4 linked regions of the Drosophila melanogaster genome follow. The protein of the gene in region 2 interacts with the protein of the main gene of each other region in a pairwise test. Each region holds a gene or a part of one and is shown on either strand. Other genes may lie near its edges.

The links.
Region 1: the proteins of CG9029 (region 2) and Tim17b2 interact in a two-hybrid assay, tested with the Drosophila melanogaster proteins (one large-scale study listed by BioGRID).
Region 3: the proteins of CG9029 (region 2) and Baldspot interact in a two-hybrid assay, tested with the Drosophila melanogaster proteins (one large-scale study listed by BioGRID).
Region 4: the proteins of CG9029 (region 2) and Tsp74F interact in a two-hybrid assay, tested with the Drosophila melanogaster proteins (one large-scale study listed by BioGRID).

What each region holds. Positions count from the first base shown.
Region 1 is NT_033779.5:15,481,362-15,488,422, reverse strand, and holds Tim17b2 (translocase inner membrane 17), read right to left. Parts: upstream 3,695-7,061; 5' UTR 3,587-3,694; coding exon 3,056-3,586; 3' UTR 2,878-3,055; downstream 1-2,877.
Region 2 is NT_033779.5:5,881,992-5,888,763, forward strand, and holds CG9029 (uncharacterized protein), read left to right. Parts: upstream 1-4,010; 5' UTR 4,011-4,028; coding exon 4,029-4,062; intron 4,063-4,109; coding exon 4,110-4,444; 3' UTR 4,445-4,618; downstream 4,619-6,772. Other genes in the region: CG44574 (uncharacterized protein), read left to right, coding at 1,791-1,830, 1,888-1,968, 2,024-2,328; Sfp26Ac (seminal fluid protein 26Ac), read right to left, coding at 2,390-2,451, 2,515-2,685, 2,739-2,760; CG43185 (uncharacterized protein), read left to right, coding at 3,182-3,212, 3,275-3,408.
Region 3 is NT_037436.4:16,655,939-16,664,568, forward strand, and holds the start of Baldspot (baldspot), read right to left. Parts: upstream 5,678-8,630; 5' UTR 5,533-5,677; exon of another isoform or gene 5,473-5,532; intron 3,529-5,472; 5' UTR 3,474-3,528; coding exon 3,292-3,473; intron 1-3,291. Other genes in the region: Galphaf (G protein alpha subunit f), read right to left, coding at 6,911-7,610, 7,704-7,801. UniProt on the Drosophila melanogaster protein: Catalyzes the first and rate-limiting reaction of the four reactions that constitute the long-chain fatty acids elongation cycle. This process allows the addition of 2 carbons to the chain of long- and very long-chain fatty acids (VLCFAs) per cycle.
Region 4 is NT_037436.4:17,889,040-17,899,172, forward strand, and holds Tsp74F (tetraspanin 74F), read right to left. Parts: upstream 6,824-10,133; 5' UTR 6,727-6,823; intron 6,174-6,726; 5' UTR 5,992-6,173; intron 4,518-5,991; exon of another isoform or gene 4,413-4,517; intron 4,348-4,412; 5' UTR 4,339-4,347; coding exon 4,261-4,338; intron 4,184-4,260; coding exon 3,992-4,183; intron 3,774-3,991; coding exon 3,678-3,773; intron 3,615-3,677; coding exon 3,318-3,614; intron 3,244-3,317; coding exon 3,196-3,243; 3' UTR 2,781-3,195; downstream 1-2,780. Other genes in the region: CG7402 (uncharacterized protein), read left to right, coding at 310-423, 488-647, 707-1,192, 1,268-1,425, 1,494-2,315.

The sequences.
Region 1 (7,061 bases), 9.6 Mb from region 2:
CGATTTCATTTCACAAAGAGCGCTTAATTCACTTTTTTTAAGTCACCTTCAACTAGGTCAATACTCCATGGCTCCATGATCGATTTTTTGGGGCCTTCAGTCCTAACCTACCACATCCAGAAAATTCCAAGAAATTGTTTGACAATGCAGAACTCTTACTCCATTTAAGTCTTATCACCTGAAGCTTTCAGACAGATTTCAAAGAATTTCGATTTGCATTCCCTTCGATGGTGAGTGTAAACATGGCTGCTTTAATGAATGCGATTACCGTTTTTTTGGGATAAGGTCAGAGCTGATAGTAAAAGAAAAGACGGGTCCCAGATCACGAAGTCATCATTGATGGATGCAGTTTTGCCCTAGGAAGACGAAGAACTTTCGACAGCTGCTCTGGACGATGATTTCATCAATTTCATCAGCCGAAAACATGCAAATGGACCGCATGCATACTAAGCGGCAGTAGAAAATTGAAAGCGATTATCGATGCGGTTGAAATAATGCAAATGGACTCGGACAATCCGTAGATCATGCCACATGGGAAAAAGAGTCATTGCCCATTGGCTTGCAAACTATTGCAGTGCACACATTTTTGGAGTGCCTAACTCGACCTTCTAATTGGTGCAATGATCCGGTGCAATGATCTTCAAGTTGAAAACGTAGAATGGACAGTCGATACAGATAAAATATTATATTCTTAATTCCAAATTAGCACGAAAAATACGTGGTATTTATTATGATACAAAAAAATATATTTTATGCATAATCCTTATCGTTTTGATATTTTTATTTTATCGTTATGAATTATTGATATGTTATTTTATTGTTATATATTTTTAAATTCCAACATTTTGCTGTGTAGCACCCTTGAACTTGTTGTGAACTCAGGCAAGGTTTTCTGGGGGCTGGAGCCTAATTTATTCACCTAGCAGTAGCTTTTTAGGAATTCTAAAATCAAGTCGCGTAATAAATGCATTGGTCTGCCTGCAGACTTGTCCCAGTCCCAATTAAAATGTGTGTCATATATGCATGAGATTTTTGGCGCCTGATTTTGGGAATACCAAATTCAACGGGCACTCCAGTGAAATGCAAATATTCTAATGCATAGAGCTTGAAAGGTGCCAGAAAGTCGGAAATATGCCTTTAATGCGCCTCGCCTCAATTTGAATGCGGTTCAACGATTGACATTGACATGTGCCAAGGCTAGCATCAGATCAACATATCTGTTATCATCGGTCGGTCTCAAGATGAATTGAAGGTATATGCCACGCAGAAAAATATTCTTGTTCATATCTGGAAACGAATATTAAAATTTCGTTCGTTAGGGATTTTAAGATTGGCAGCTTTATTAAATTTGTTTTCACAAACCAAGATTTTATCCTTTAAATATATTTCGCTGTGAAATTTCTTGAATTTTCTATTAGCCTCAACATCCCTGATAAATGGCTCGCGTTTAGCGCCATGCGGGCGCAGCATGCGAAAAATCTTCCATTTGGGTTGATTTCTCGCATTGAGGTGTTTTGTTGGTCAACGCCAAACATGTGCTTGCCACATGCCCCGTTTCGGACCCATTTTCAATACCAAACTCAAGCCTGTCCAGGCGAAGGTGTGAACTATTTGGCCTGGTGCCTTATCTACACTTAGAAAAATATTGACATAAAATGGATTTTTGAACGGTGTTAAACAAAACGGTGTTTGTTTTAAACAAAATACTTCAAAATTCGTAAAATACGATTATCGTTAAAACCCATCGTAACCATTTAAATATACCCTTTCATACCATTTACATACTTAATTATTTAAAATAGAAGAGGTTCAACATATATTTTCCGTTTTCCAAACTAGTTGACATTTTTTGCGGTGTAACTGTGATAGCTGTGTACCTTCAAAGTCCCATGTGCCAGTCTCTCTCACCTTGGTCCTACCTTCGACTTCGCTGGGCTCTCCGTTTTCCCATGAGGGAGTTCTCCTGGCCCGCTCACATATGTCGGAACTCCAACTGCGGAGCTGGGAAAACAAACAGGACTGGCGGTACTGGTTACACATGTGTGAGCTGGCCGGACCGGAGCACGTACTATGCGCGTAGGTGCGACTCCTTGGATTCCCCAGTTCTCCAGTTCCCACACATCCTGGCCGGGCCACATGATGATGTTGCTGTGCTTTTCCCGTAGCGCCAGGCGTGTCCAAATGTTTTGTTGCGGAATTCCTCAAGGCGAGGAATCTCGCACACATTACGAGTAGTCGGCGCTCGCGGAAAAAAAACACACGAGCCAAAGTTACATATGTTCTTTGGGCCATTTATTCAAGAAATTTCCATGTCGGCCGAAAAGGGATTTCCTTGTAGGCGGCGTTTTCCCACGATTTTATAACTGGGCTCGACTTCCCATCTTCCCACCGTCCATGTGTTGCTGGGAAATCGGCGTTGCCTTTGGTTTTTTGCCTTGCGGGGGAAAAGTTCTGATTTGAGTGCGCTCGAGACTTTCCAGCTAGGAGCAGGACATGTGGCCGGTAGCCAGTGCCACTCAGTACCTCACTCAGTCTAATGGCCAGAACACCGCGGTCATCTCGAGTGGACAGGTTGTAAAGTGGCCACACCCGCCGACCGGACACTTGACTCTATGCGCCGGCGCAGCATCGCAGGTAGTCATCTGGAACAGGTAAACATTTGCCAATATCTCACGCTGACCTATGACACGTGTCAGGTGTCTTTGTCGTGGATTCGGGCAAGTGTGAAACAACCTACTACCTGTTGAGGCAATAATGATTATGAATACGAATGAATTAACACGGAGAACGATAAGAGGGCCAATTGCATTTGTTCCTTCTTCCAAAACGAGCTGCAAACGGCAGCTAATTGTATTTTAATAATTATAAATCCGTGTTAAATTGTTTGAAATTTAATAAATTGGTTCCTTTGCAAAAACAGCTTAAATGGAAATACTGCAATTTTGTCCATATTTTATTGTCATCGAATTTTTCAAATGGAATATTGCTAAATCTAGCACTTATGAAAATCAAAAAGGACTACGTATTAATATACCCAGACAAGAAAAATCGGAATTTAGCTAGTTGCAGTGGCCTGCTGAGCACCCGGAAATCCAAATCCGGAAGAGTTGAAGTCACCGTATCCTTCATTGGCATCAGGCATGATATGCGGTTCACGATTTCGGAACTGTTCCGCCGCGAAACGTGTAAAAAATATGCCTAAGCCCTCGATCATTGAGAGCAGTACGCCACCGATAATTGCACTTCCAGCCATGGCCGCCGCTCCATTGCGTGAGGCCAGAATTCCACCAGTAACTGCTCCGCTCACTATCGAGTTCCAGGGATCCTCCTTTTGGCGAAAGTGGACCAGACTGCAGTCCACAATGCTGAACACTGCACCCCAGGCGGCGAAACTTCCACCTATCACCGGAGATTTGGTCTTGATGGCAGCCACACTGCCGGCGACCCTGCGTCCTAGTCCCTGTGGTGCGTTCCGGAATCCCTTGAGTCCCTGGAAGAGCCCGCCTCCAACGCAGCCCATGATAAAGGCTCCTCCGCAGTCGTCGACGATGCGATGGGGACACGGTTCCCGCGAATACTCCTCCATCTTTGCACTTTTCCACTGGCAGGATTTCCTATCACTGGCCGAAATTAAAAACTGAATTTGCTAAATTTCAAGCCTTCTGCTTATTTTCTACAAATGAGTTATATGTGACTTGGCGTCGCTCGATATGTATAAGGAAATTATGAGTTTTGTGTCTGTCAATTCCAGAGTTTGTTGTGAATTGTGCGACTAAGCTTGCTACATACCTAGTAGATTTAAAATCATGGAGAACATGTCCAGGAACTCAAATTTCAAACTACAGGTTGTAAGTAAGAAGTACTTGGTTTTGTTTGTGCCCCCACCAGACACCCATTAGCATATGAACCAGAGTCAGAGCAAACAGAGTCGCACGTGGATCGGGGATCTTTTGCCCCGAAGCTCAATGGCACAAAAAGGTTAAATAGCACAAATGTCGGACCGTAGTTAACCATAAAATTTACTGCCGCAGCTGGACAACTTCGGCTCGAGAATGGGGAGGGGACGGGGGATTGGGATTCGGATTGGGATGGGGATGGGGCCATTCGAAAGACGCAATTCGTACAAAGGCAAAGCCAGACGGTGGGAAACGGAAACAATGAGACCGATTGTCGTCGACCGATAAAGCCAAGCCGAACCAAACCAGAACTCCAGACCCAATACTATTTTATACTGCGTATGTCAAACTACTTCAGGAGGGAAGCTTACGATTGCATGCATAATTATCACGCGAGCATAATCGAAATTTTGAAACTGCCGCAACTGTGTTTGCTTAGCTCGAAAAAGGGGGAAGTCTTCGCATTCGGGCCCTCGATGGATATCTCCGCATAACAAGGTGTCAGACAGCAGTGACAAATGAAAGCGAAACCCCGATCGAAACCGAAATCGATGGGCAGGCATTTAAGTATGAGGGGACACCTGGACACACACGAAGCGCCAGTCCATTGTTCAACAGGACAAATCTCGTCAACTTGACATGTAAATCGTTAGAACGTGTTGCACTCGATTGATTGCTCTCACTCCCGAGAAGGTTATCGGGGATCATTTGACGGGAAATGGCTGCAGGATAAGACATTATATATAATTTGTAAATGTAAATACTGGGCATATTGTTTGCCACTGCTGCGGGATTTCCAATGAAATCTTCATTTCCACGGTAATTGTTGTCGCTTATAAATGATTTAGATGGGATTAGATCGATGTGGTGTTAATGTGGGCACATTATGCGAAAGGATTGGCCATTCCGTTCTAGGACGCGATCCGACCATGGGTTTCCCACGAATTCCGGAGATTCGAGCCTTACAGTTTTCTGGGAAGTCACAGGCCAAATGGAATTGGCCTACTAGCCCATTTAGTAATTTTATTAACATTATTTGTTGTTAAAATACCAACGTATTATGTGAAATTAAAAAAACTGCAGTTGTCTTTGGATACAGAACAATTTAAAACCATATTCAAAATTTTAAGAACAGCATTCTACAACTGTAAATCGAGCTCCACAATGTACGCTACAGAAATGCAGGTTTGGTAATCTATTGTGGCAATGTTTTTTAAAACAATAATGATTATGTAAACAGTAAAAACTCAAAAATTATAATATCGAACAGATATGATCTCTAAAACGGTTCCGTTTTCCATCTTCCGATCTCCGAATGCTCCGTTAGAGGCCAGTGTTTGGGCAGCTGTGATGCAACATTTTGTTATATCTTAAGGAATATGCATCTGCATAACCCACTACAAAGGGAATCCAGAACGGAACTCATTTGCCCGCTCGAAGAGAATCCCTGCACATGCCAAAACGCCAGCCAGAACAAAGGGGGCGAAACAATTGCGGTTGCATTACCCCAGCAGTCCAATTCAAATTCCGACAGCCTCCAGCCGGGCAATGAAATTCAAAAATTCAAAATCAAAGGGCAGGCCTGAGTCGACAAAGGATGTGACTCAGGTAGGACCCCGGGCCTGCCGCCAAAAAAAAAAAAGAAATGCTGAAAAATCTCGAATGGTGCACTATTGTTGTGTCCTGTGCCCTGACTGTGATTACTCGTATTCCGATGTCGATCATAAATGCGGTAGTTTAATGCACTCTAAGAAACCAGTATTTGCTTTAAGTACAAAATAAAATTCGTAGAACCGACTGACTTAAAAAAAAGTATAATGAATTTGAAATCTTAGCTTAAGAAATCTTCTAGAAATTTAATAAGCCTAGCTAAGCTCATTTTAAAGTGTCCTATTCCGTGTGTATAATATATGGGAGTAGTAATACTACTTAACACTACAATTTGTAGAAAAATACTATACTTAGATATGCAAACATTTTTATTAACTAGAATTGTTTGCAATTTTGCCATACTTTTTTGCCTGGTGTACTCGCCAAATTCCCCATCTCTGCACTCAGCATTGTACGCCCGCAGATGCAAGTCAACGTCCGAATCAAGTCTCGATTTTTTGGGCTGAGGGCAAACAGATGCACATCTTGCCAAAAACCAAAACCCAAGAGCTGAAAACGAAAAACCCAAGCCGATGGCCCAAGACGAAGACGCGCCAAAGGAGAAGAATCCTGGGCTGAGCTGCAGCTGTCAATGCCAAGCCACCAACGCGCCACCCTCGAGTTGACATTATTTCCAGCACCGATTTGTGCTGATTCCTGATTTCAAAATGCTCCTGCCTGCCCGCAGGCGCAGATGCGATATCCTCTGGGTTTCCTTGGTGCATTGTTGTTGTCCGTTCACCCGTCCGCCCGGTGCAATGATTTTTTCTTAACGGCTCCTTGTCTGCTTTGTGTTTGTGCGGGTTTTTTTTTTTTTTTGCTCTGCACAAGGAGCATCTAAGGTCCTGCCAAAAAGGTGTTGGAAATCTTGTTAATAGGGGAGTTTGTTTCATCGGCCTGACCTGGCATAACGTGGTGGGCGTCTGGCAAAGGAGATAAGATGTCCCATATATTTAGGGATAAAGTAATATAAAAAACCACTGGTTGAATGAGAAACTTCTTAGTCTGATAATTCCATTTTTCCCTAACTCAACTATATGTAATTAACTTAATCAAAATAATAACAAAATGAATTTATTGGGATATGTTTTATTATTTTTATATATATGTAGAAGAAAGTATAATTCGGTTAAGCACAAAATGGTGGCTCTCCTTTTCGGAAGCGTTTCCAAGCGGAAATCACTATAATCATTAGTGAATAATCACATTCAACCCCTGTAGTAAATTTCACCAGACAAAAAACTCTCCCTTTTTTTATGTAGTCCGTAATCACCGCAACAGAGTTAAATAATATTTACACACTTCATTTAGGAGACACGTGTAATAGGCTAAACAGAGTGTTTAGTGTGGCCAATAAGCAGGACACACGCGATGTCCCCTAATCAGCTTAGTCGCCGTAGCATAATGGAACGTTGGGGGCAGCGATGACGACAGGACACTGACAACAGGATCTGTAATGTCGGCACTGAATTGACAGGATAACGAACCGTGAATAGGCGCGAAACCTGCGTCGAA
Region 2 (6,772 bases):
AGGCCGCTTTGGTTGTACCGAAATGATTGCACAGCGAATTAGTTGGCATCGGAGTAAAGAGCTATCCGTTTAAGGCCTAAACATCACTTACCCCAAACGAGATCGTCTCAATTGGTGGATATAAATCAAGTTCGGTTAGCAAAGCAGCTGATATTGGCTGGCCGTTGGCTTCAGTATCCATGTCATAAACAAGGACTTCCGATTGCGGCGTCTGCTCAAGTGGCAAGTGCCACGAGCGGCTTAGCGGAGGTCCTCATTAAAGCCGAAACCGAATAAAACACCAAACTTTCAGCAGCTGAGGGGCGACAGCTTGCAGACCCAAACAGGTGGCATCGGCAGTTGGGTCAGAGACAAGTCCTGGAGTGCGGGTCGAGGGACGGAAGGGCGGGAGGACTTCCGCCGATGTCCTGGCCATTTCGTAGCCAGGTGGCCTCGCCTTCGCCAGGTCAAGCGAAAAGGCGTCAAGGATATCAAGGATTCATAACTCATTTACCGACCTCTTGATGAAACCACTTCGATATCAAGTTCTGCTGGGCGAAGCAGCTAAACGGAGAATTACTTGCAGTGGCTTGAATTCATAATGATAATAATTAAGTTACAGAAGTTTATTTTACCAACGTTAAATTTTATATATATATTATAGGTAAAATATTGCATACACCTTTTAGTTCAAACGCGCTTTAAGTGGACTTGTTTATTTTCATTTTAGTTGCTTGCTTTGTGCATTCAGATTCACATTTTAAATGATATATTATTGCTGGATGATTTATTATGCGAAACATTTTCTGTTTATGGACATAAAATATTTGTATTTTTAGTCAGAAATTTTCGGTGTGGGCCAAGAACGCTTTTAATAATGCGCTTCAAACATCCAAAGGCAACGAATATTCAGCGGTGTATTTTCACGTTTAACTAATGTGGTTTTAACAATCACCTTAAATAGCACATTAGCTTTCGATTTCTATCGCATTCGAGTCGCTTACACAAGCAGGGAGTTGAAAATCCGAGTGAAATATAAATAATACCTAATTAATTGTCAATTAATCTAGTTTTTATTCTATTTCAAACTTGAAAAGTAGACTTAACTTATATATGATTACAACTAATGTGCAGATATATTTAAAAAAAACTGCTGAATTCCCCTTGCCCATCGAAAGATTCATTTACACAAAAAAAACATTTCCATTCGAAACGCATAATATTTACAAATCAATCGAGGCATAAAACCGTCTATACTACATGGGAAAGTCAGTGCCCATGAATTCTACTAAGAAAATATTTCGTTGGAGCCCAGAACTTATGGGTATAGGTTTCTTTAATAAACTTGGAAATGCAACGCACAGCGCTCAGTAAACTCCGCAACTCCACACGGAATATGGAAAGCAGTAAAAGCCATACAATCATTGGAAAAGTTATTTGTTTTGACGGAGAGTAGGAGCGTGGGCAATATGGCGAGATCCCTTGCCACATTCATATGTAAATGCATCAGGTTGTAGAAAGCTTAGGTGAAGGGAAAAACTATAACTTTTCAAATCAAATTATTACTCATAAAACGATAGGTCGCGTTGTTAAGTGACTTGTTCTTCGAGGTTTTTATGGTTCCACAATTGAGTGAATCTAAGATGGAAAACGTTACTCTTACAAGGGCTTGTCTAATTTAAATGAAAGTACATTTAAGTTGCTTGTTTCTGTGTAGTAGTTAACTACTGTAAAGAAATAGATTTAGAAATAATATTCATTGCAAATAGCAAACCAAAGCGACTAGTCGCATTTTGATCTAGTACATCGAAATGAATGCATACTATAAATGTATTTTACTTATTCTTTGTGGTAAAATAAGACATATTTAACTAAAAATTAATAATCACTATTTAACCATTCCTTTAGCAACGTTTTATGTCCATTTAGTTAACAGCTTAGACAAGCACGACATCAATGCAATTTTAACGAAGTTTAAAAATCTCGCTGGTAACTATTTATATTTTAAAAGTTATAAAATTACTAAACGATCTGTCTGTTGAAGTAAAATCCGCAAGCATGCACTTGCAGGATAGCAAATCGGATATAAACATCACCTCCAAAGAATTTTGTATGAAAAATGACGAAAGGACGAACCGCTTCAAAAGGATTATTTTTCTGCAGAAAGAGGTTATCCTAAAATTGCAATCCCAATTGTTGGAACAAACTCTGAATTGCAGCAACCTGAGGCAAAGAGTTCGCAGGCTCATTGATAGTTACACAAACCTAAAGTCCGAGCTTGAAGAACTAAGGTCGAAAAGTGGCACAACTGACGGCCCCAAGAATGAGAGCACTATAAAACATATATAGTAGATTTGTTGGATTCAAACAATATTAAATATTAATTGATGAAATGAACCATGATTTTATTTTACATCTTGGCGCACTTTTCTTTGTCCTTAGGGCACTTTCCTTTAACAATTTCGGTGAATGCTGGGAAAGTGTATAAATATTTATACTGCTGCAGGCGAAATTACATTAATATATTCCACTTACGTTTCAGCTTTTTTTGCTCTCGACGGCATGAAATTCTTTCAACTTGGCATCGATTCAGAGCAGTAAACACACATGAGCCATCAGCAACCTTTCCACAATGGATATTACTTTTCCAGTCACAGGTAAGGCATTCGTCTGCAATGGTTTTCGCCAATACCAGAGATACTATAACTACGGGTCTATTATTAAATTTTTAATCTGAATCCAAAAGGTTGAGGTCCTACCAAATATGAGATGGATCTTCATGCCGTCACTTTAGTTTCGAAACTACTTTTTCGAAATACTCAAAAGAACACAATAAACTTTAATTCGATTACAGAACTATGACTGAAACATATCATATTTGCAACAGTTAGCACATGTATTAAAAACAAAATTCAATTTGCTAATGTTATACCATTGTATCTTGGTACTCTTTATACTTTGCGCTAAGTATCTACAGGCTGTGTAGTTCAACAAGAAACCCTTTTCTTTAAAAATGTGCAATTGATAACTTAAGTCCCCTTTTTTACTCATAAAAATCAATATATTTTTTATGACCCTAGCGACTGTGATGTGTTGTAAATTGATTTAATGGCCAAATGCTCACTTTGAAGCTCGAGAGTGCGTTATAAACTGACATCGAATGAAGCCGGGCCCATTTACGCAAGTTGACTGTACAAACGCCATGCATTTGAGACAACTCCTTACCGAAATGGGTAAGCAATCGATGTACAACAATACTACATTTATTTTATATTAGCTGTTCTTAATTTTGAAGTTATTATCTTGACCATATTGACCATTCCTGGCTATACCATTCACACCTTGGCAGAGAAGAAAATCAGCCAATATCCTTGGATCCCGAAGACGTCAACGCATATTACACCTTATAAGATATCTGGGGATATATGAAATATGAAATGTGTTATTATGTATGAATAAATTTCGACGAATTTGTCTGCCCAACAATATATTCTAAATAAATGCATATTTTAAAAGATACTAAGAGCGCATGAAATAAAAGTTTACTTCAATAAGCTTGATATTTTTTTAAAAAAACCAATGTGGTTGTGAATGTGCAGAATATACCTGGTATTTTTAGATTATTTTTTTATAAGCACATTGGACTCTCAATTTATTTATGTATATTTCCAACCTAATATTCCGTGCAATAAGTAATTATCCAAACCAACTTGGATATCTCTACAACTTACTAATTATTGACTTCCATCAAGCATCTTTTAATGAATGTAAACCCTTCCTTAGTTAATTTATCCGAAGCCATCAGAATGATCAAACCTTTTTAGTTTTCAAACATTTTTTTAAAAATGCACTTGCAACTGCATCAGTATTGATTATGTCCTATCAGAGAAATGCTAAACAGGCCTGAAAGAATTGACCATATCAGTGAGCATGGCGAGCAATAAATCTAATTGATTTTGATCGCCGTTTGATGGCCATACTTGAAGCAACTACTGGCGACCTATAAAAGAGGGAACGCAATCATCAGTCTTCAGTTCAGTTTGAGGATCATGAAATTCTTGACCGTATTTGCATTCGCCTGTGGTAAGTAGTCCGCACGACTTGGCCAACGTTTGATAAACTAAAGATAGGCATCGTTATTCTGTTAGTGGCAACATTTGTGGTGCTCCACGGCGCCTACGGCTCACCACTGCCGGAGCCCATTCCCGATCCGAGTCCGGTGGCCGATCCGAGTCCGGCTGCCAATCCCAGTCCAGTTGCCGATCCGAAGCCCGTTGCCGAGCCATCTGCCAATCCAGGGACCGGAACCAACGCAGAACCAGGTCCGAGGAGCAAACCGAATCCCAGTCCCTCGGCACCAGCAACTCTTTTGGAAGCCAATAAGCAAGACAACTTTGCGGTTCCGCTCCTAGAAACTGCTCCGCAAAAGCTGGATGATGTTCAGGCCGATCCCCAGCCGGCTTAGTGGGTGCATGACCCCACATCAAGGAGCAGCAGCAGCAGCTTAATCCAACTGGAGCCTGCACACCCACACACAAGGGAGACACGCACACATATATATATTAATCTTCTGTATTCAATGTATGCATTTATGTATTCCAACTTCTAGCATGGGCATTAATAAAATTGCAAAAAAAATATTTAAATACTTTTTGGTCATATTTCTATCCCCCAAAAAGAAGCAGATGGTATCTAAACTAAGATATATCTTTCAATACCATTATGATATGCGTGATGTTATGAATCAAAGATAAATAAACATTGAATCAGTACATAAATTAAGCACCACCTCTGTTAACCGAATTCAACAAGCCGCGATTTTAGGGAAGTGACGCGGAGTATTTGCTACACAAATCCATTTCCCACAACAACTTCCGCCAGGCAGTCAGACAGTCCACTGGGCCACGGCAATCACATGACATCGACACCGGCCAGGGAGAGACCAAGTGACCAAGAGACCAGCCGACCAGATCCGGCCAGCCAGATTTGCGTTGGTATAAAAAAAAAAGAAGCCACCGAGACTGGGGGGAAAAAATCGCTTACAAAGAGGAAGCGACAATGAAGTCAGCAGTGTAAGGTTGACGACGCCACGAATGCCGGCAATCCGACCACAAAGACAATGTCTTGGATGCCAACCGGCATTGGAGGGCATAAAACCACACGAAAGCCCCATTGATCGGGGGGCATCGTCGGTTAATCCATTTGTGGGGCATCATTACCACCGGGTTTATTCATCGCATATATGGTATGTAAATAGGTTTATTTGCATCTTTCTTTTGCCTCTTCCGACGATCGTAAATTTTAACTCAACTTTAGTTCGTTCTCAATCGTTAAGGCAGTGAACAATTTTGAGATATCAATTTACATGTTAACACATCTCGATTTTTGAATGAACAGTTGACTGACAAATTGGCCCAATCGGTTGTGAATGAACCGCCATAGTATTGAAAGCCATTGATAACGATTTCAGATTCGAAGAACTATAGAAAAGTAAACCTTTGATGGACTAGAATTGGCAAGCTTCAAATGATAGTCAATGAGTTAGAATGTTCAATTTAGTTTTTAGCAGTTTTCGAAATTTTGATAAGTAGTTAAGATACATCTTTAGCATTCAGATTCAGATAGGATTAATTCTTTCACATATTTCCTGTCTTATTCACTGCTTCTGATTTCTATCTGATTGCCATAGCCATCTCTCAGATTAAAGCTATACACTTGGCCATAACTCAACAAACCTTACGATGGATTTTAAAGATTCTCGACGTAGACAGCATTACAAAGGAACTTTATTGCGAGGTTTCACTTTAAATGGTCGGTCCTAGTATGGGATATGGCAGGCCTTTATGCAAATTGTACCATCTTTGCTTTGCGTTAGCAACAAACAATAAAGATACGCCAACAACAGCTTGTAATGGATATGAAAATATAAAGAAGATTATATATCTGACACGTATTTAAACGTAAAAATATTACAATACCCATGATTCTTAAGACCTTCATTATTAGCCAAAAGTATACTGAAAGTAGTGCTCTAATATAAAGTTAGTTTTTAAAAGCCATAAAGCAAATTCGATGCGGTTAAGTTCAGGATTCGTTATTCTTCATGGTGTTTGAAACACTTCTGTTGTTAAATTTAGCTTCTATTCCCGAGTTATTTACGAACAAGTAAAAAACATCTTAAAGATTCTTTGCAGCTACGAAAATACTCACAAATATTTTTCGTAAACAAAAAATTCTCGTTTGGCAACCAAATATGTGCCAAAACAACATCAAAAGCGGCACAATTAAAGCCAATGCAACGCTCCACATAATTATATTAACCAACTCAGAAAAGGGAAAACAATGGAAATATTAAAGAAAAGGAGTGGAATGAACGGCAGATGGTTACACATTAATTTATAATTATTTGGGCTTCCACCAAAGGGTTAATCAGAACAAGTGCCACTTTGTTGAAAGCGCAGACGAACAAATTGAGAAAAAAATGGATATTGAACGTTATTGTGTATACCCTTTCAAACCGGCATCATTAAATGCATATTCAAATAGCAATGTATTAAATTTAATTATTAAATTATTATGTGTGGTTTTAGGAAATGATAAAAAAATACTTTTTTTGTATATTTTTACTGTTCGAATAGTAAACCGCATTTTGTTAAAGTGTACGGCCGCATCTCATGAGCTCATGTGGTGCGCATCTGAGAAACAGAAACAGAAGCCCAAATTAATTTTGTGGTCTGCTGACTTTTTTGATTATTATTTTGGGTCTGAAACAAATTTGAAATTAATTTTTCCT
Region 3 (8,630 bases), on a different chromosome or scaffold from region 2:
CGGTGGCCGACAAAAACGAGTTATTTCTGGAGGGGGAAAAGAGATCCACTTTTAAAGCAAATAAAAGTGGGGAAAAGTGGCGTGATATGAAGATGCTGAGTTGAGAGGAAAGGGCCGCCGCCAAAAAAACACAGAAAGAAAGAAAAAAGAGCAAGCGGAGCTTTTCCCAAAGCTCCAACATTGAGATCTCGAAAATGGTATCTTATGTAGAAAATATATCAAAACATACACAAAATGCCTATTAAAGAAACGCGGAGATTTGCTCGCCAGCTCTGCCCACTTTTGACCAACTGTTTGCGTTAACGGTTGTCGTTAATACGATGTTAATATATGTATGTACATACATATATGCACACTCATAGGCCGACCAAAATTGAATTAAGTTTCACTTTCAGCACTGCCCTTTCTCGTCTCTCCACGTTCGTTGTGTGTTTTTTTCATATTTTTTTACTTATTATTTTCGATCGGTCTACTGCGGCATGTGAATTATTTTTTAACTAAATGCTGTGGCTGGTGGTAATAGTTAATTGCGGCAGTGATTGTAATTGCAGGTGCCCGTGGAGGGGCGGCAATTATTGTTTAATTCGCAAATGTAAATGTTATGCAATTGCCACGCTTCAATTGCAAAAAAAAAAATTTCCCCGTAGCAACACACACGCCAAACAACATTTTTCCAACCATTTAAGGACACTGTGCGTGGTGAGAGAATCCACATTAAAGGACATTATTATTTCGAGCGAGGGTGGACCTAGATCCTAGGTCCTCTGTACTCTGTACTCATTTGTCCTCGACACACTATTTCCAGTTGTTGTGATATAAATAATGCAATTTGCTCGGAACAACATGAATAATAGCGAGAAACCAAAGCAACTGAATGACTCAATCGCTTTAAAATTTAAATGATTACAATTATCGGTCATCGTGCTCCTCTGCAAACACATACATACATTATTCGCTGCTTCAGATTTCTATTTTAACCACTGGGGTCCCCACACACGTTGCCCACCCCATCTCATATCGCCCCCTTATGAACCCTCCTCCTTATATGGTCACAAAACATTTGCGCACGCCAAAGCTACACTGGCCAACAGGAACTTGTTTTTCACGCATATTACATCATTTGAATATCTTACTTTATGGACCATTAAGGCTTTGCAACTTATATTTTATAGATTCTTTGTAGAGTGCTTATAAGCTAATTTTATTAGGCATATTTAATCTTTAACCATTTAAGGAGATGTCAACTGTAATACGCAATACGTTATGGATACTAAAAACTGAAATATTAAAATTCTCCAAAGGCTTCGACCTCTTGTTTACTTTTTAACTATAAAAAAAAGCAAAAATCACTTTAAAGTGCTGGTAAATATTGTAAACGCAATCAGGTGGTCCAGTGTACCAGTGTCCAATTGAAGTGGACCTATAGAGCGGCTACATGTCAAAGTGTCCTGTTGGAGTTCCGTCCAGGACTACTACCCACAACCCCGTCTGCGTGGACACACCCACTTCTTGCATGACACACAAGCACATATGTACATACATACGTGCCACATGGTCGCCGTGGAAAACTTTGTCCGTTGGGCATTTGAAATGAAACGAGTACGACATGGCGTGTACCTATAAACCTAATCAGTTTAATGACTTTAATGGCGCACTGTCCGAAACGAGTGAAACAAAACAGAAATTCAAAAATTAAATTCATGAAAGATGAGGTGGAATGCAAGCGGGAAGTCCACTCTCTAAATATGTAAATGTACAGTCGGTGGCATGCGGTCAGGTGCATTTGCATTCTTTCAAAGTTTGCGATTAATTTTGACACGCTGTTCAGAACCGTGGTTGCTAATTAGAGATTCTTAAACATGGCATGGTTTGGAAAACGTCAAATATTGAATATTCATGCATGTGTTTGAGTATTCAAGAAGTTAAGTAGCCATGCTGAGCAAGCGGAAATCAATCCGTTTTAATTTGCCCAATTCATCCTTACCTTGTCAGTTTTTTAACCCCAACAGTTCGAAAGAAACGCCTGCATTTTCACTAAATTCACACCTTTCTGTACCAAGTACATACGTCCATTTGCTTAGCCGACTCTCCTCCATGTGGGCAAATATTGAAATGACATTCCGAAAAAGCCAAGTGTAAGGCAAAGCCAACAACAATAAAGTGAAAAATTAACCGACAGATCCCCCGACGAGTGTCCGCGTAGAGAATCGCCAAGCAACCCAGGGCCAAGCCCCTATATAACTCATCCAAAAACCCAATGGCTTTGGGTCGGAGTGTGGGCAGGAATCGCTACTCCACATTACATTATGCAAGCAATTGAATCATGATGTGGAATTCAGGGTTAGGAAAGCCACATCAAATAGACTTATCTAGCTAACATTTTTTAGAATACAAAGACGTATGTTTCGAAAGATACTCAGAAGGAACTTATATAGCCCGTTTTCCCCAGTTGGACAATAATAAACTTTTCTGTTAGACGGTAGCAACTTTCTACCGAATTTCACAGTGGCCTTAGCAAGGCTATAAACAGCTCCAAACCAGGTGACAAAACTGAATTATGATCTTGCAAAAATACTGTCTAAATGGCATGTCACGAGCCCAACTTAATTTGGCCACAAAGCCCGATGACGACAATTAGAAGCAGGAAGGCAAACACAGTATCATAGGCAAAAACGAAGCGAATCGAAACGAGACAATTGCCAGCACGAATAGCCGCCAATTGGATCCACCACAGGTAAATCAGGTAACAAGGAGGGGACAAACAGCGCTGACTGTTGGAAAAATTGTTAAAATACCCAATCAAATAGGTCTTTAGCCATCGGAAAATACACCTGAATAGTGCGTGCTCAGGTGCGAATGCGAATTGTTGGCTATTTGAGCCCGAGTTGAGGATTCACCTACAACATTAGTGTTTGATTAGCCGTAATTTAATATAATTACACGTGGAACTCAACAGCTGTCTGGGCTAATAACAAATGTACACTTGGACTCCAGTCTTTCCGGAGAATAAACCGAAACAAAGCGCGACTGAGTCAATATAGGGGTTTCCAGGGATTGGTTTCGATAAACAGCAAAGTTGTTTCTACCGACTGCAAGGGGCGTGTGCACTTGTGGGTGTAATTAACGCCGCTCCCCGGCCGCCAGCTAATAATTTTCCAAGGCCAAAGGGCGCAAGTTCTTAACCCAACCGTTATTTCACTGAATTGTCTATCTAAGCCACCAAAGAACACATGTTTTTTAATCGCAAAACTGCTTTAGTTCACATAGTTCAGTTCAGTGTGGCAGACTCACCTAGGCCGATTTTGCATAAAGTGCTGACCACCGAAGATGACCAGCATGTAGATGCCGCAGTAGTAGAACACCCATGTCCAGTTCTCTAGCATCCATTTGCGCGTCCGCTGGTGTATGAAATCGTTCTCGAAGTCGAAGATGTACGAGTAATTGGGCGTAACGCTAATGTCCATGTTGATCATTTTGGTGGGCTTTATGTGTTTGAGTTGGTGGCTATGTTACTTGGGTTATATGCAGCTGTGGATTGACAAGAAAGTAGAGATAGATTAGTTAATGTACTCAGAACTATCTTGTCAAAGATCTTGTACAACTTTGTTAAGGAATATAGCTATTCGTATTAGAAATAGCTATTCGTACACCAGAACGATTTTATTAAATTAATATTAATTTAATATTAACAATAGGTTTTAGCTTCTGCTGATTAAAAACTAATTTAAATATACATCGAGCTATACAGCTGTTTTATTTGAATAAATAAAATAATATACTGAAAGTACCCAATGAACTAGGACGGTTTAAATTTTCTCATTTTGCTCTGTATGACTTTGTTTTTTTATACATTACGTACTTTTAAAATAGGCACACAAAAAGGAAAACACTTTGAATATAATTTTTTAACTTATGGGAACATTCTTTAATTATTAAAACTACAATTTATCTTCGAGTCGAATGTTTTTAGTTTTTTTTACTGATTGCAGTATCTTATCTGTTTCCTAAGTAATGGGGATTTTACACGACGATGTTTAAAGCTTAATTCAGTAAAAATTCCGCACCACTCCCCCTTATCAAAACTCACACGCGCTCTCTCACACACACACACACACAATCAGGCACATAAAAAGCCCGCGTTTTGTCGCATAAATTTCTCGGCGACCTTCCTTTCCCCTTCGTCCCACACCACTCCTCCTCTCATTCATCCATTTCATTGATTTTGCCAGGCAACAAAAAAAACACCGTTGGTCCATGGCTCTCTCTTACTCAATCTTTCTTCCCTCTCACACCCCTTCAAACACCTTCCCGCTCTTGCTCACTCTGCAAGGGATGTGCAACGCTTTCATGAATGGCGCACGCTTTGTGGTTATCTTCATCTACATTCTTCCGCTTTTCACACTTTTCACACCTCGTGCTGAAGCTTAAATGGATACACAAACAACTTGATACACAAAGAGAAACATTGCTCGTCAATCGGAGGTAAAATCTTGACATTAATAATTAAGTTTAGTTAAATGTGCATGAGTTTTATTTTAAATATTTAATTTAAATGTGAGAATTTTAAGATCCCCAAAATCTCTAGCCGAAAAACTACACTAAAACTACAAATTAAATACATTTGGAGTCTCCGAGTTTGGTTTTTTTTAACATTCTACTTTTATATCTTGAAATCACAATACTAATAGCTGAATCCAGGGACACTCTGAGTCCTGTAAGCTACCCCGTTATTACATCACTTTTCTCACAGTGTTCTGGGAGCACATGAGTGAGGGGGTGGCTGTAACGGAAAGTGTAATTGTGGTAGTTTACAGAGAGCGCCAGTCTGGCGCGCTCTCTCTTCCTCTTTTTCTCTGCCCACGAAAGTCTCGTGCGAATTAAAAGAACTTGAAGGAATGCATAAGCAAACAGCGAAACCCAGCAAAATACAAATGAGACAGGGCAACTTGCCGGTGGGAGGGAAATTAGTTTGAATGCCTAATTGCATGCCAGACACGCGACTAATCATACACACACTCGACGCGCTCACACTTTTACGCACTCTCACTCACTCTCGCACACACAGGTGATTTCGTTTTGCCATAAGCTTCGCTTTGGTTTGATTTGGAAGCTTTTTCTGTTGTTTCTTTTTGAGTAACATATCCGGTTTTTTGCGCGAGCGCTTTCAAAAATTTCTAGTGAAATTTTTTCGATGCTCCTAGCGGTTTTTATGTTTCCGAAAAACAAACTGCCCCTCCTCGCCCTAACTTTGCTCTCACGCAAAAACACGCGATCTTTGCCGAATTTTTTCCATTCGTATTCTGGTTCCTGCTGAATCGATAAAGTTCTCGGTTAAATCAGCAAATGTCTGGGAAATATGTTTTTGCCTCTCCTCTCTTTCGTTCTCTCTCGCAGCATCGGATGAGAAAAAAGGGGCGCAAAATAAGGAGGAAACCAAACCACCGCAAAACATCAACGAGAACACGCACTCACACAGATATCACAGAAAACACGGTTACTATTTTCGAACGCTGATGTCTATGAGGTAATTACATTTGCTCGCCGCCTCTTATCGCAGTATCAATTGGCTGGATCACAACACACACGGCTGGCTGTCACACACTTCTGCCCCAGCGACTCGGTTCAGCAAACTCAAAAAACTATCGAATTTGCCGGCGCAAAGCGAACTGAACGTTTAGCTGGCGGTTCGGCTGCTTTATCGCTATACTTATATATAGGAGATATTTTAGTACCAATCATGGCGCTGGTACTTTTGCCATCGCGGTATTTTTCTGCGGCTCGCGTGCGGTCACATCTAGCTGCGTGCGGGTGGAGCTCTATGCACACTGGTTCCACTCCTATTGGGTACTAGTCAAACTTACTTATGTTGCAAGGAACAGTTAAGCCACTAGTGTCTTTGGTTAAGCGTAGCAAGATGCATTTGTATGCCCAAATTATTAAACAGTATCGCGAGTTATACAGGAATATTTTTGTTTTATGGTTATACCGACATGAATCGTTAAAATGTTTGGGGAGAACGTAAGCTGGTAAAAGTTAAAACGATGATCGATCTTTATTTAACTTTTTGATTTGGTTGAAAGTAACGATTCTTTGTTCGTGTTGCATACGTAGACACAAAACTTAAATACCATATCACTTTACGAGTAATGGGTATTAGGTAAGGACCACAGCTCATTGGTGTGTAACTTGGCTATTAGTTAAGCGATGGTAAAGAACTATGTGGATTCCATCATTTAAATTTAAGACCGACCGTACAAAATATAACGCTCTGATCGATAAACGGCATTTAAGTGGAATAAGCTTTTTTTTTAATTTGAATAAGAAGCGCATATTTTGTAAAAGATCACTATGACTTTTTGCCTTTCAATATGTTTTTTATATTTTAAAATGTTTTAATACGAAGCTTATATATTCTTGTATAAAGAGTAGAATGGTGTATTCCGAATGGGAAACTATTTTGATCAAAAGTAAAACAACTATGGTTTCTTTTCCTTTCCTATGGCAACATCAGATCGCTCAAAGCGTGTGTGCCCTTTGAAGTATGCTACACTTTGTGTTGCATGGGACCCAAATACCCAAACTTTGGGTGCAAAAATATTTAAAACTCATTCTCAAATTGTCTGGGTGTGTTTTGGTTTATTGTAGATGCTATATTCTATTAGAGTTTAGACATTGGTTGAAGGAGTAGTGAGAGCATTCGGTATGAGGATTCTTCCTCTACACCCAATGCAGTTAAATATATTAAAGCGTTGTACCAGCCATTGTGCAACATACGGTTGCCACTACGATCTACGGTCTTACATGGCTACTTATGTAAGTCATATCCTACTAGATCACAGTTGGTGGGGGCCTGAGGACAGCCCTCCCTTAACTTTATTGAGAAGCTCTCCGATCCGCAACGGGATCTGGACTAGAATAGGCCCATGCTGGACACGTTCTCCGAGAGGATCATCTTCTGGACATCGCAGAAGACATCACGGATGCATCGCGTATCCGTGGCGACGGTGAAGTGGTAGTAGCACTCCCTTTCCGAGGTACCCAGATCCACCTGATTCCGTGAGTGTCGCTTGAACGGCTCCTGTGTGATATCCACCAGCTTCTGTTTGATGAACATCTTCGTCCAGTCACTCTCGCCAAAGCAATTGTCCTGCTGCGGCCTCTTGCAGAAGTCCTCGTATTCGGGAAAGTAGTCCACAATGTGCTTGCCGGCCCGAATCTTTCGCTCCATGATGTCGTACTTGTTGAGGAACACGATCAATCCGGCGGAGGCGAGGAAACGATTCTGCCACACGGCTCTGAACAACTTCAGAGCCTCCTGCAAACGATTCTGGCTGGGATCCTCGCGCAGATTCTGATCGAACTCGCTGCACGAGATCAGGAACAATACGGCCTGTATGCCTTCGAATACCTGAATCCACTTATTCCGCTGATCCCTTTGGCCACCCACATCGTACATTTGGAACTGCTGTTCGCCACCACCCATGCTCTTGGGAATGGGTACGCGGAAGGTGATTTGCGAGATGCCGGTGGTGATCTTACGGCTGTGCAGAATGTCCTCGGTGCTGGGTATGTATTCAGCATCGCTGATCCGCACAAAGTTGTCCAGGAAGCTGGGGTAAAAAAAAATTCAAACTTTAGTAAGGTTTTTTTTTGAATAAATGGGAAAGAAATCTGATTTTGAATCAATCCAATTAGATACTTACTATTTCGCACTATCCAGCAGGGGAAACTCATTTGAGCGATCATAGCAGGCGCGAATACCCACATCGTTCCACAAAGTAGTGACGTGGTCGCAGTACTCCTAAAAATACAAAAAAAGTAACCCAAAATTAAGTATTGTTTTCAAGTCAGTGATGGAAAATAACATCAACTCTTCACCGGAAGATTGCAAAAGCCGCTTGGACAGACAAGTACGAAAAGCTAATCCGGTAGTAAAATTGTCTAGCTAACCGTCTAAAAAAATTCTATTTGCTGAATATATGATAAGGATCATAAACGCCAAGATTGTGTCACTTTGCAACTGTCATACGAATGATCAACATCAACATCAAAGTAACAGCACAAAGTCAACTTTAAACTTAAAAATAAAATATAAGAACCTCCAAAAAACATACTCTATTTTGGTCTGATATGATTATTTATTTCCTCAGTTAACTTAAAACTCTGAACGTATTCGAGTCACCTATTCAAACAGTCAGTCATAAAGCAAGGGGAATCCGAACTTCGGTACTTCTTTTGTTTATGCTTGGCATTACTCACTGGCAAAACATAAAACCATGAATGACTGGCATCTAGATCTGGGAAAGGCCCCGCCCACTTGGAGACCTGAACAGCCTTGGTAATCTAATCGTAAGCCATATAATGACCACTGGTTAGAGGTACATAGATAAATTTCGGAAAGATAAAGCAGATTGCGCCACATGAATCACATTCAGAGGCAGCGTTGCAGCTGCGGCAAACTTGAAATAAAAAAAAGGAAAGAGCAAAATAATACAATAAGGCCCGGGCCAGGAAGTCCGATTTACAAAACACTTGTTTTGGAAAGTTTTTAGACATTCCACGCCGCCCAATGGACACGCTATCAATCAAATCGCCGCTACTGATAACACGAATTCGATCGAAAGCCGTTG
Region 4 (10,133 bases), on a different chromosome or scaffold from region 2:
ATTATTGCGCGGAAAATCCAACAGATACTGCCTAACTGTGCAATATTATTAAAAAGGCTCTTACATGCAGGCATTTTCACATATTGCAACATTTTTTGTGTTTTTCGGCGTGTGCAGAGTAAGAGTTTTAAAAGACGCATCTCAGTCATTTTTATTGACTCTTTGCTAATATGAAACATGTACGACAAATCTTAAGACAGCGAACCCGTCGTATTATTGAAAAAACAACAACGATGAAACGTAGTGTTACTAAATCTGTTTAAATTGTTTGAAGATTATTGGACTGTCTAGGCCCTAGGAGTATTTACGATGACAAGTGGAAAAATCCTCGTTCTGCTGGTAGTGAGTTCCATACTCAGCCTGGCATATGGATCGGGATATTCTACAAAACCAAATATAGTTATAATACTAATCGATGACATGGTAAGTTTTTGATAATAAATTAAAACTTTTTTCGAAAAGTAACTAATCGCCATTGCATTTCCAGGGCATGAACGATGTCAGTTTTCATGGCTCGAATCAGATCCTTACACCGAATATAGATGCTTTGGCCTACAATGGTATCCTGTTGAATAAGCATTATGTTCCGAACCTATGCACACCATCCAGAGCTACTCTGCTCACTGGAAAATATCCCATACACACAGGTAATATACGTTTTACCAACGAAAAATCATTTAATTGGCTTACATCCGAATATTTTCAGGCATGCAGCACTTTGTGATTATCACCGATGAGCCGTGGGGCCTTCCTCAGCGAGAACGTCTTATGCCCGAAATTTTCCGGGATGCGGGCTACTCGACCCATTTGGTGGGCAAGTGGCACTTGGGCTTCTGGCGCAAGGATCTCACGCCAACAATGCGTGGATTCGACCATCACTTTGGCTACTACAATGGCTACATTGATTACTACGACCATCAGGTGCGAATGCTCGATAGGAACTACTCGGCTGGACTGGATTTCCGGCGGGATCTGGAGCCGTGCCCCGAAGCGAATGGCACTTACGCCACCGAAGCCTTTACTTCGGAAGCAAAAAGGATAATTGAGCAACACGACAAGAGCAAGCCGTTGTTCATGGTGCTCAGTCATCTGGCGGTGCATACGGGCAACGAGGATAGTCCGATGCAGGCTCCAGAGGAGGAAGTGGCCAAATTTCCCCACATCAGGGATCCCAAGCGACGCACTTACGCTGGCGAGTTAACACAACGCGTACATATATTGTAAATCAAATTAATATTTGTAATCTTGTTACTACTTTTTACCACAGGTATGATTTCCAGTCTGGACAAAAGCGTGGCTCAGACAATTGGTGCTTTGAAGGATAATGGCATGCTGAATAACAGCATTATTCTGCTCTACTCAGACAACGGAGCACCCACGATAGGCATCCATTCCAATGCGGGTTCTAACTATCCCTATCGAGGAGTAAGTAATCCAGGAATATCATAAAAGCAATGAAACTAGAATATTTATTCACCTTATTTTACATTCAGCAAAAGGAATCGCCGTGGGAGGGTGGCATTCGATCGGCTGGTGCACTGTGGAGTCCGCTGCTTAAGGAGCGAGGATATGTGTCCAACCAGGCGATACATGCCGTAGACTGGCTGCCCACACTGGCAGGAGCTGCCGGCGTATCCTTGCCGCAGGATCTTCCGTTGGATGGGATTAATTTGTGGCCTATGCTGAGTGGCAACGAGGAACCGAAACCAAGAACAATGATTCATGTACTCGATGAGGTTTTCGGTTACTCATCGTACATGAGGGATACTCTTAAGTATGTAAACGGGAGCAGCTTTAAAGGACGATACGATCAGTGGTTGGGTGAACTGGAAACTAACGAAGACGATCCCCTGGGTGAGAGCTACGAACAACATGTCTTGGCATCGGATGTTCAAAGCCTACTAGGAAATCGGGGATTAACTAAGGATCGCATCCGACAGATGCGCAGTGAAGCCACCGAAACGTGTCCCCCTATTGAAGGACAAAATCCTCTGGAATCTCATTTCAAATGTGAACCACTGAAGGCTCCCTGCTTTTTCGATCTGGCCAAAGATCCCTGCGAGCGATACAACCTAGCCCAAATGTATCCACTCCAACTGCAGCAACTTGCCGATGAGTTGGAACAAATTCGGAAGACTGCGATTCCCAGCGCCCGAGTTCCGCATTCTGATTCAAGAGCTAACCCGACTTTCCACAACGGAAACTGGGAGTGGTGGAATAATACGGATACGCAATCAGGTTCCGGCACCTTCTCCATCAATTTATGGCTTGCGATGGGTAGTATTATAGGCTTAGTATACAGAAATCTGTTGTAGCTGTAAGTTCTTAGTAGAATAATTTTTAATAAAAGTTAATTAAAGAAAATACTTTTTTATTCAAATCTTTAAAGTCGCTTGAGTGCGAACTTATTTTCAGTTAAATAACATAAAAGTTGTTATATTATCTGATGATAATTCACTTTGTAAACACCTTCAGGTCACAGCGTGATCCATACTTTCCCTATTTTCCCGCTTCAAAAATGTGACTTAAGACAAAAAAAACCTAAAAATATGCAACAATATTGCATGTAGATTAAAGCTTCGATCAAAAACAGTTTAATACTTTAAACCGTTTTTTAAATACAAATTTTTACGTAACATGGACATATTTCATGGACCAGATCATTTTAAATATTTATCCTTTTTCGTTTTTTTTTTATACTCATATCACAACATATCGTTTAATGATAATTGGATTAAAAATAAAAAATATTAATATATATAAACATTTCCGAAGTATTTGGTTTTAACTAATTTTTATTGAAAACAACAATGGACAGACATCTAAATTCTCTATTAAGTATTGAAAAGCTCACTTAAAACTAGCAATTGTAATGGGTTGTTGATAACGGTGGCTTAAGAGGAAATTTACAAAACTTCACACAAATAATACAAATTTATGCAACAGATAATAACAATAGAATCCCTACTAAGTTCAATACTCACTAGTTATGCGTATCTAAACACGTATATACATACAATACAATACATAATACAAGCGGACAGTTGATCTGTGCAGATCTAACATTAGCATACACTCAGATAATACTCTTAATTTAACTCCAGCGAATTATGTTTAAAAATGTGTTTCTTCTGGACTGTGGACCTTGGTATCTGATTTTCCTGCGTGACCATGGGATTCCCCTCCTCGTTGGCGCTATTCGATCATATTGAATAGTAGACAGGAGAATATCATGCCAAAGATCTAAAAATAAACCAAATTCCAATTAATTATATATTATATAATAATTTTGCTACCGAAGAAAGGCGTTCACTTACCATCAGTATGGCCACCGCTATGGATGTACCTCCAATAACCGCCGCGTGATCCCTGATGAAGTTGGTCGTCACATAGAGGCATCCCTGGTTGTACAGATTCGTAATGGTCGGGAAGATTGTGCACTCCTTACGCTGTCCACCGAAAAGCTCCTGGCAACAGGACTCAGGCACTGGTCCGTACCTATTCCAGTCGTGCCACGTATCCACTCCGCAGCACTGTAGTCGCTCCTGGGTCAAATCCCAGGCCTGGGTGATCTCCCTCCTGCTTCCGTATAGTGCCATCGTGGAACGCATTTCCTATGGGATATTGGTAAGGGTTAATGTGCCACCCACGTGTTGTTATCGATGGATTTGCCTCACCTGCCGCATGGTCTGCTGAACTCGTTCGCGGAACACGTAACCCAAGACACCGCCAATTAGCATGGTCACGAAAACTAGGGCCACTATTATGAAATACTGCAAAGGGAAAACGAGTGGTTAATTTTTTAGCTAAATGGTGTTTGCATAATAGTAAAGAAGAGACTGACAACATTTAGAAGATTAAATCAAATAGATCATTTCTTTAGATGGTATCTTTGTAAATATGCAAATCCAGATATGATTACTCCAAAAAGGACAAAGTTAATTATTTAATAAAATGAAATTTTTGTTTTTATTGTTTGTTGTTTACTTACTGTTAGGAGGAGGCATTTGACTTCTTTTCCGGCACCAACACAACCCAAAAAGGACACCAGACAAATGATAATCGATGTAACCAGCAGGACGTAGACAGCACCCGAGAAAAGATTTGTACCGAGCAACTCATTGACGAAACTCCGATCCACCAGAGTCCACAGGGTGAGACAAAACACAATCGCTCCACCCACCTGGAAAATACATATATTTTGGTATTATTTATTTCTCTTAAATTGTTTTTTAATTCAAGCGACTCCTGGATACTCACGAATATCACAAAGTTGGCTATGAAAAGACTGTACTTGACGAACTGCCCGCAGCAGTCCATTCGCGAACTGAAGCCCATATCGTCTTCCTTTGAAAGGATAATACATTTCAATTAACCAATTCAATGGGATAAAAAGATTTCACATTGTTTACTTTTGTCTACAGGTGAAGAGCCCCCAGAGGATATTGATGCGAGGAGAATTATGCAGGGAATTTGGGGTAGGATGAGATGCAGAGGTTCTTGATGGCGATACAACTCTATAATCCAAAGACAGATAAAAATAATTTCACACTATGCTTTAATTAAGTTAAAGTTCTTAGAGATCATTCAATTTCAACAGGTCCTTAGCGATAACCAAGTTAATCATAACTCATCATCCCGATTTCAAATTAGCTATTTTTGGCCTACTCTCTATTGCAATGTGATGTAATCTCAAGAATGTACTTTTTAACGAGTTTCTTTCGCGTAAGATTCACTCCAACATATGGGCTGCCTATCAATGGTGTTCGGCTTGGCGAGTGGTGCGCATGCGCATGCGCATGCGCAGCTGTGGTTTCGGCCGAACGTTTCGCTCTTTCTAAGCCGGGTCCGAACCGCGAAGCGACCGAAGTACACTTAACCATGACCCACTTTATGGAACTGCGACTGAGCAGCGAAGCTGCCAACGCTATGTGCCTAGACAAGCGTTCATTATCGGCGGTGGCTGCCAACGTCTTGTGGATTTTGTCAGTTACGGCTCTAAAGACTCGCGTTTTTTTTTTTTTTTTTGGTTACTTACATCGCATTAGGCCCACTTGAAGGGTTCGCTGCGCGGCGATTCCGAGACGAATTCCCCCCGTTGAAGTTGGAGCGATCAAAACAAATAAATCAAAGTAATAGCCTGCCCGAAAATTTGTCAGCTAATTGTAGTGGTTTAACTACGAGTGCCGTCCCAGCTCTGAATCATCTTGGCGCAGTGCGATGTTCTAAATGCTAATTAAAAGTAATTGCAGGCTGAGCAGTCGGGTACCCCTTCACCCCACTAGCTGGTAAACGACATCTCATTTCGAGCATTATTCTCCAAATTCAAATATGTTAAGCCGCAGTCGAGTTCGCCAGGTAATTGGCGGGGCTATTAAAAAAATGTTCTCACACTATCTGAATATTCACTATATTTCATTCGACGTTATCATGTTAAGCGAATCCGAATCGTGCCTGAGATGACAGTAAGTCATCCGAAAGTCGCCATTAATGATGACGGGGCGTTGGCGGCGGGGCGAATCACTATATCTGCCGCTTGTAAGCTGAGACCAATTAAGTTTATGGTAATTGTTCAGCTGTACGTGCTACACATGGTAATAGATCACTTAAAGCTCGGATTCCAAGTCCTGTCACTCATGAAAAACTTAGAAAATCAGACTTTTTAAGTACTATCTACTAAACTCTGAGCTCACTCTTTTATGCTCCTTTCATACCCTGTTATCTATCTGTAATCATAGGAATAATAGCTTTACTAGGTCATTTATGTTTAAAACTCGTATGTAATCTTTATTTGTAGGTGATGTTAGCTTAAAAGTTAGTGAGCAGAATCGGTCGAGGCTATAAATATGAAATATGTACTCCTTGTTTATACTCGAAGCTTGAAAATATAGCAGTGAAAATAGGAAAGTGGTCGCATTTGAAGGACCTCTGTATGAAATTTATGATTAATTAAAACAAATGAAATATTATCTAATAAGCAAATTCACTTACAAGTTTGCCGTCCCGTAGCACAAACGAAGTTTTCGTTAGGTAACCAATTTTGGCGGTTTTCTTTCTCAGCTTTGTGTATGTAAATTGCCTTCAATTTGTTGTTTTGCAAAAACACAAAGCAAAACAAAAGAAACGGCTACTATTTTTAGTTGCACTTGAATGCACAGAAACTTTGGGAGTGGCTATAAAAAAAGAAGGAAATTATTTTAACCCTTTCAATTAACATTTTTGTGGTAAGAAGTAGAAGAGTTTTTAATTTCACTTTTATTTATAAACAACTTTTTGATGAAGACGCATTCATTCATTTTTTCGGTCGATTTTATTAACTTGTTTAAATTTTTGGTTCATTCTTCATTCAGATCACTTCATTCAGATCAAAAGAGATCGCAAAGTTTACATACGCATATAGCAATTTATGCAATATTCGTTAATATTTGCTCTCGAATTTTTATGAAACTTTTTTAATACAGGTTTCTTGCATTTGTTTTAAGCGTCACTCGCAGTTGATAATTGTTATTGAGTTTTTATTCGATTGCTGTTGCTGTTATTGTCAATTGCAGTTCTCCCATGGCAAACAACTTTTTTTTTGCCGCCTTGCTTTTAACATTTGCTTTTCAAGTTACGTCACGCTTGCCAAGGCAGCATTATCCTTAGCGGAGTTATCACTGTACTGTCGGGATATTTCGTGGGGATAAAACTATACGATTCACTTGATGGACCTAAGTCTCGCCTTACAGGGATTGAGTGGATCCGGGGAGCTATGATACTATGGTTTTATATGTGGGACAGGGACGACTCTACCGCCCGAGAGCTCGCTTGGAACTGGTTGTGGGAACAGTCGGGGCGATCGGTTTTTTATTAGTTTCGCTCACAAAGAGCTTCGTTGTTGGGCTTTTTCTGGTCTCGGTCTCTCGACATTACAACAACTTCGACTTGAGCCCCTGTTTTCGAAGGCTTAGCACTGCAGGTGCGAGAGAGATGGGAGTCTCTACTCGCTTACAAACCGCAAATACTTCTCTGAATGTTTTCGTGCTTCTCTCTTATTTATTCATCTATTTTTCGGCTTCTTTTACCCACACTTCCCTTTGCGGAGTCGGCATGTGAAAATGCGTTGAGCAAACAAAATATGATCCGTCGTCCACAGCCAGCACCTTTGTTTCATTTCGGGCAATTGCAAAATATAAATATTGATAAGCAAACGAAATTTGATATTTGTTTTAGTTCTCGGTCTGCACATGGCAATGTCCGCATAATTGATTTTGGAGGCAAATCTATCCGAATTGGTTACCGTTTTGTTATAACAGTTTAAGTTTAAATACTTTTTGAACAAGGATTATTTGTAATGATTGTTTTCTTTCTTCAGTTGGATCATTTGCATCTATTTGCAACCATATTTATATTCAATATACGAGTGTTGATCAGACAACTTGATAAAGCCAAGTTTGTCAGTCCGTTCCTTTCTTACGCATTCTAGAATCATAGTTTTAAAGCTTGGAACTTTTCTAAAAATCTTCTTTTTATTGCTCGTAGTATGTGAATTTGTCTTCTGTATCATGTATGTATAAATATCGAAATTTAATTGAAAATATTAGAAAAGAAATCAAACATTGGCGAGGCTATCTTTCTTTCTTGATTTCAAGGGCTTAGTGTTCCAAGAGAGCACAAGGAAAATATGCTTATTATCCGTGTTTCATGTTACTTTTGCTGGTCGAACTCAATTGCTGTGCCGAAGGACAACCTTTGGCAATTAACAGCTTAATTTTCTTGTTAGTCGAACAAATAGTTTTGGCTGAGTTGAGTAATTTTTTAAGCAGTTTCCAAGCTAAGGTCAGAAAGTTGGCTGCCGATAGACGAATAGCTCACCCTCCCTACTTACACTCCACAGCACGGTTGAAAAGCGCTCAAATTGTTGGCTTGTTTAGCACTTTTATGGCCGTGTTAACAACAACCACCCGCCATGTCCCCGTAATCACCGACCAATGTGTTAGTTGCATGGCGAAAATAAAAATAAATCATAAAAAAAAGAAAAACAATTACTCTGCCTGTTGATTTTGCATCTTATAAACTCGCTGTGGGAACCTTTTGCGTTTTATAGATGCCATAAAATCCATTTCCACACACTCGTCCCACAGGCGCCTCATGATAAAATATTGCTCAGAAATCGAAGTTTGCGACTAGTGCTCAGTTATTCTTGCTCAAGTGGCCAAGAATCATTAATATTATGGGGAATTCTTAATTTTAAGCCAGTCAATTTCGCCTATGAACCTATACTTACTGAGATCCGATTAGTGTGAGCGAGTTGAAAGCCTCGTTGAGCTCGGCGAAGGTGACAAGCGTCAGAAGCGTTAAATTGTGGCACTTTAACTGATTGGAATGAGTCAAAAATTGGGAAGGCAAGCAAATGACTACTGGTAGTGGAAGATATAATTAAAATGTTAACCGAACTGCGCATACAACCGAGTTAACACAGCAACATGCATCATACATTATCAGATGCAAACTAAAGTGAAACATTGAAAAAACAACAAATGCAACATTTTTGATTCTCACATGACTTATCATAGCTGCTATAACTCTACTTACGCCTTCGCCACTTACTGATCTTCGTATAAAAGCTATCTCAATCAATCAAAAATTTGCATATTGCATTAATAAATTAATGAATCTATGGGAATGTGTAGTGCTCGTGAATAATGCATTGCGAAAGTTGAAAGGTTATCAATAGTTAATTATATAGAATTTACTTTAGCTTAGAGGAGTATAAAGGAACTTTTTTACACAAAATTCTATATATAAATAAACAACATTTTCACGCAAAGTGACCTTCCGAAATTCGAACTTGAGGGCTGGCATTTATTTTGGTGGACAACCGCAAAACGCAACTGAATCCCAGATCTTGACCAACTCAAGTCATGTAGTTTTTCCCAAGCTCTACACAAGTCCAAACAAACTCCAAGTGCATTCTGTGGCCTCGGGCCAAAGTCATTAAATGGCTAATCAGTTGGAACAATTGTATTCCCTTTTGGCCACCGCTTAGAGCATGTTCCACCTCCTCCCACGAAAACACACAGATATTCGGCAAACAAATAGCCAAAATATACATCTGAGTTTAGTCATGTGCCCGCTAATTGGTCGGTGTCAGCTCCAGTGATTGTACGTGGCGATGTGTCATCCAAATGCTGAATATAATGTCTACCGATCAGGTCAGGCATTTCCAACCAATATGGCAATCTTATGAATCCTAAGTACATAAATGATATGAATATGAATCATTTCAACGTATGTATATTATGTGTCTTGTCCAGAAAACGGTTTGACGAAAGTTCTGAGAATGTTTTCGTTTTTCAATTTAATTAATTTCTGAATATTTACATGAGACTCTTCAGATAGAACATCACGGAATGCGATTTTCCTTTTGTTATTACTCTGTTAACTTCCTATCCGCACACAAATTAATAGTTTTAGAGAACATGTAGTAACTATAAATGCATATTATATTTTAATCCTATTCCTTTATGTTCAATATTTATTATGGCTACATGACACTTTTAAAATTATCTACATATTTAATTTGTTTTTAAATATTTTGTGGCGGCACCTTTAAATTTTGAAAAATGTTGTAAAACATCGTTCCTGTTCTAAATTCTTTTCTAAGAAGGAATTGAACCATCCAATGCACGGTATAGGGTTTCCGGTACCCAGCCTTAGCTAACTTTGTATGCAGCACTTTGTTCGAAAATGAAATACATTCGATAATGCTTTTGTTGAGAAACCCTAAAGGTAGGCTTCATAAATGTGCTAGAAGTTCGAATCCGACCCGCTTAAAATCCACATTAGAATAAATGCAACAAATTCATTGAAATGTTTATGTACAGTTTATACATCTCCATACATATCAACCTTATGGACTAATTGTGTGTGTTTGAATTGTTCATTTTGGTACAAATTGCACTAAATCAATGCACTTCATTGATCGATTGAAGTTCTTCGGTTGCCTGACTGGTGGGCTGTGTATGCTTTAAGTACAAAAATCAATATTTTGGAGGCACTTAAACAAACTTAGCCTATTCTGCTTGATTGTAGACGGCGACATTGTTTCTATTCAGTTTAAAATAGATTTTAGCAACTAGGAAGGGGTTTTG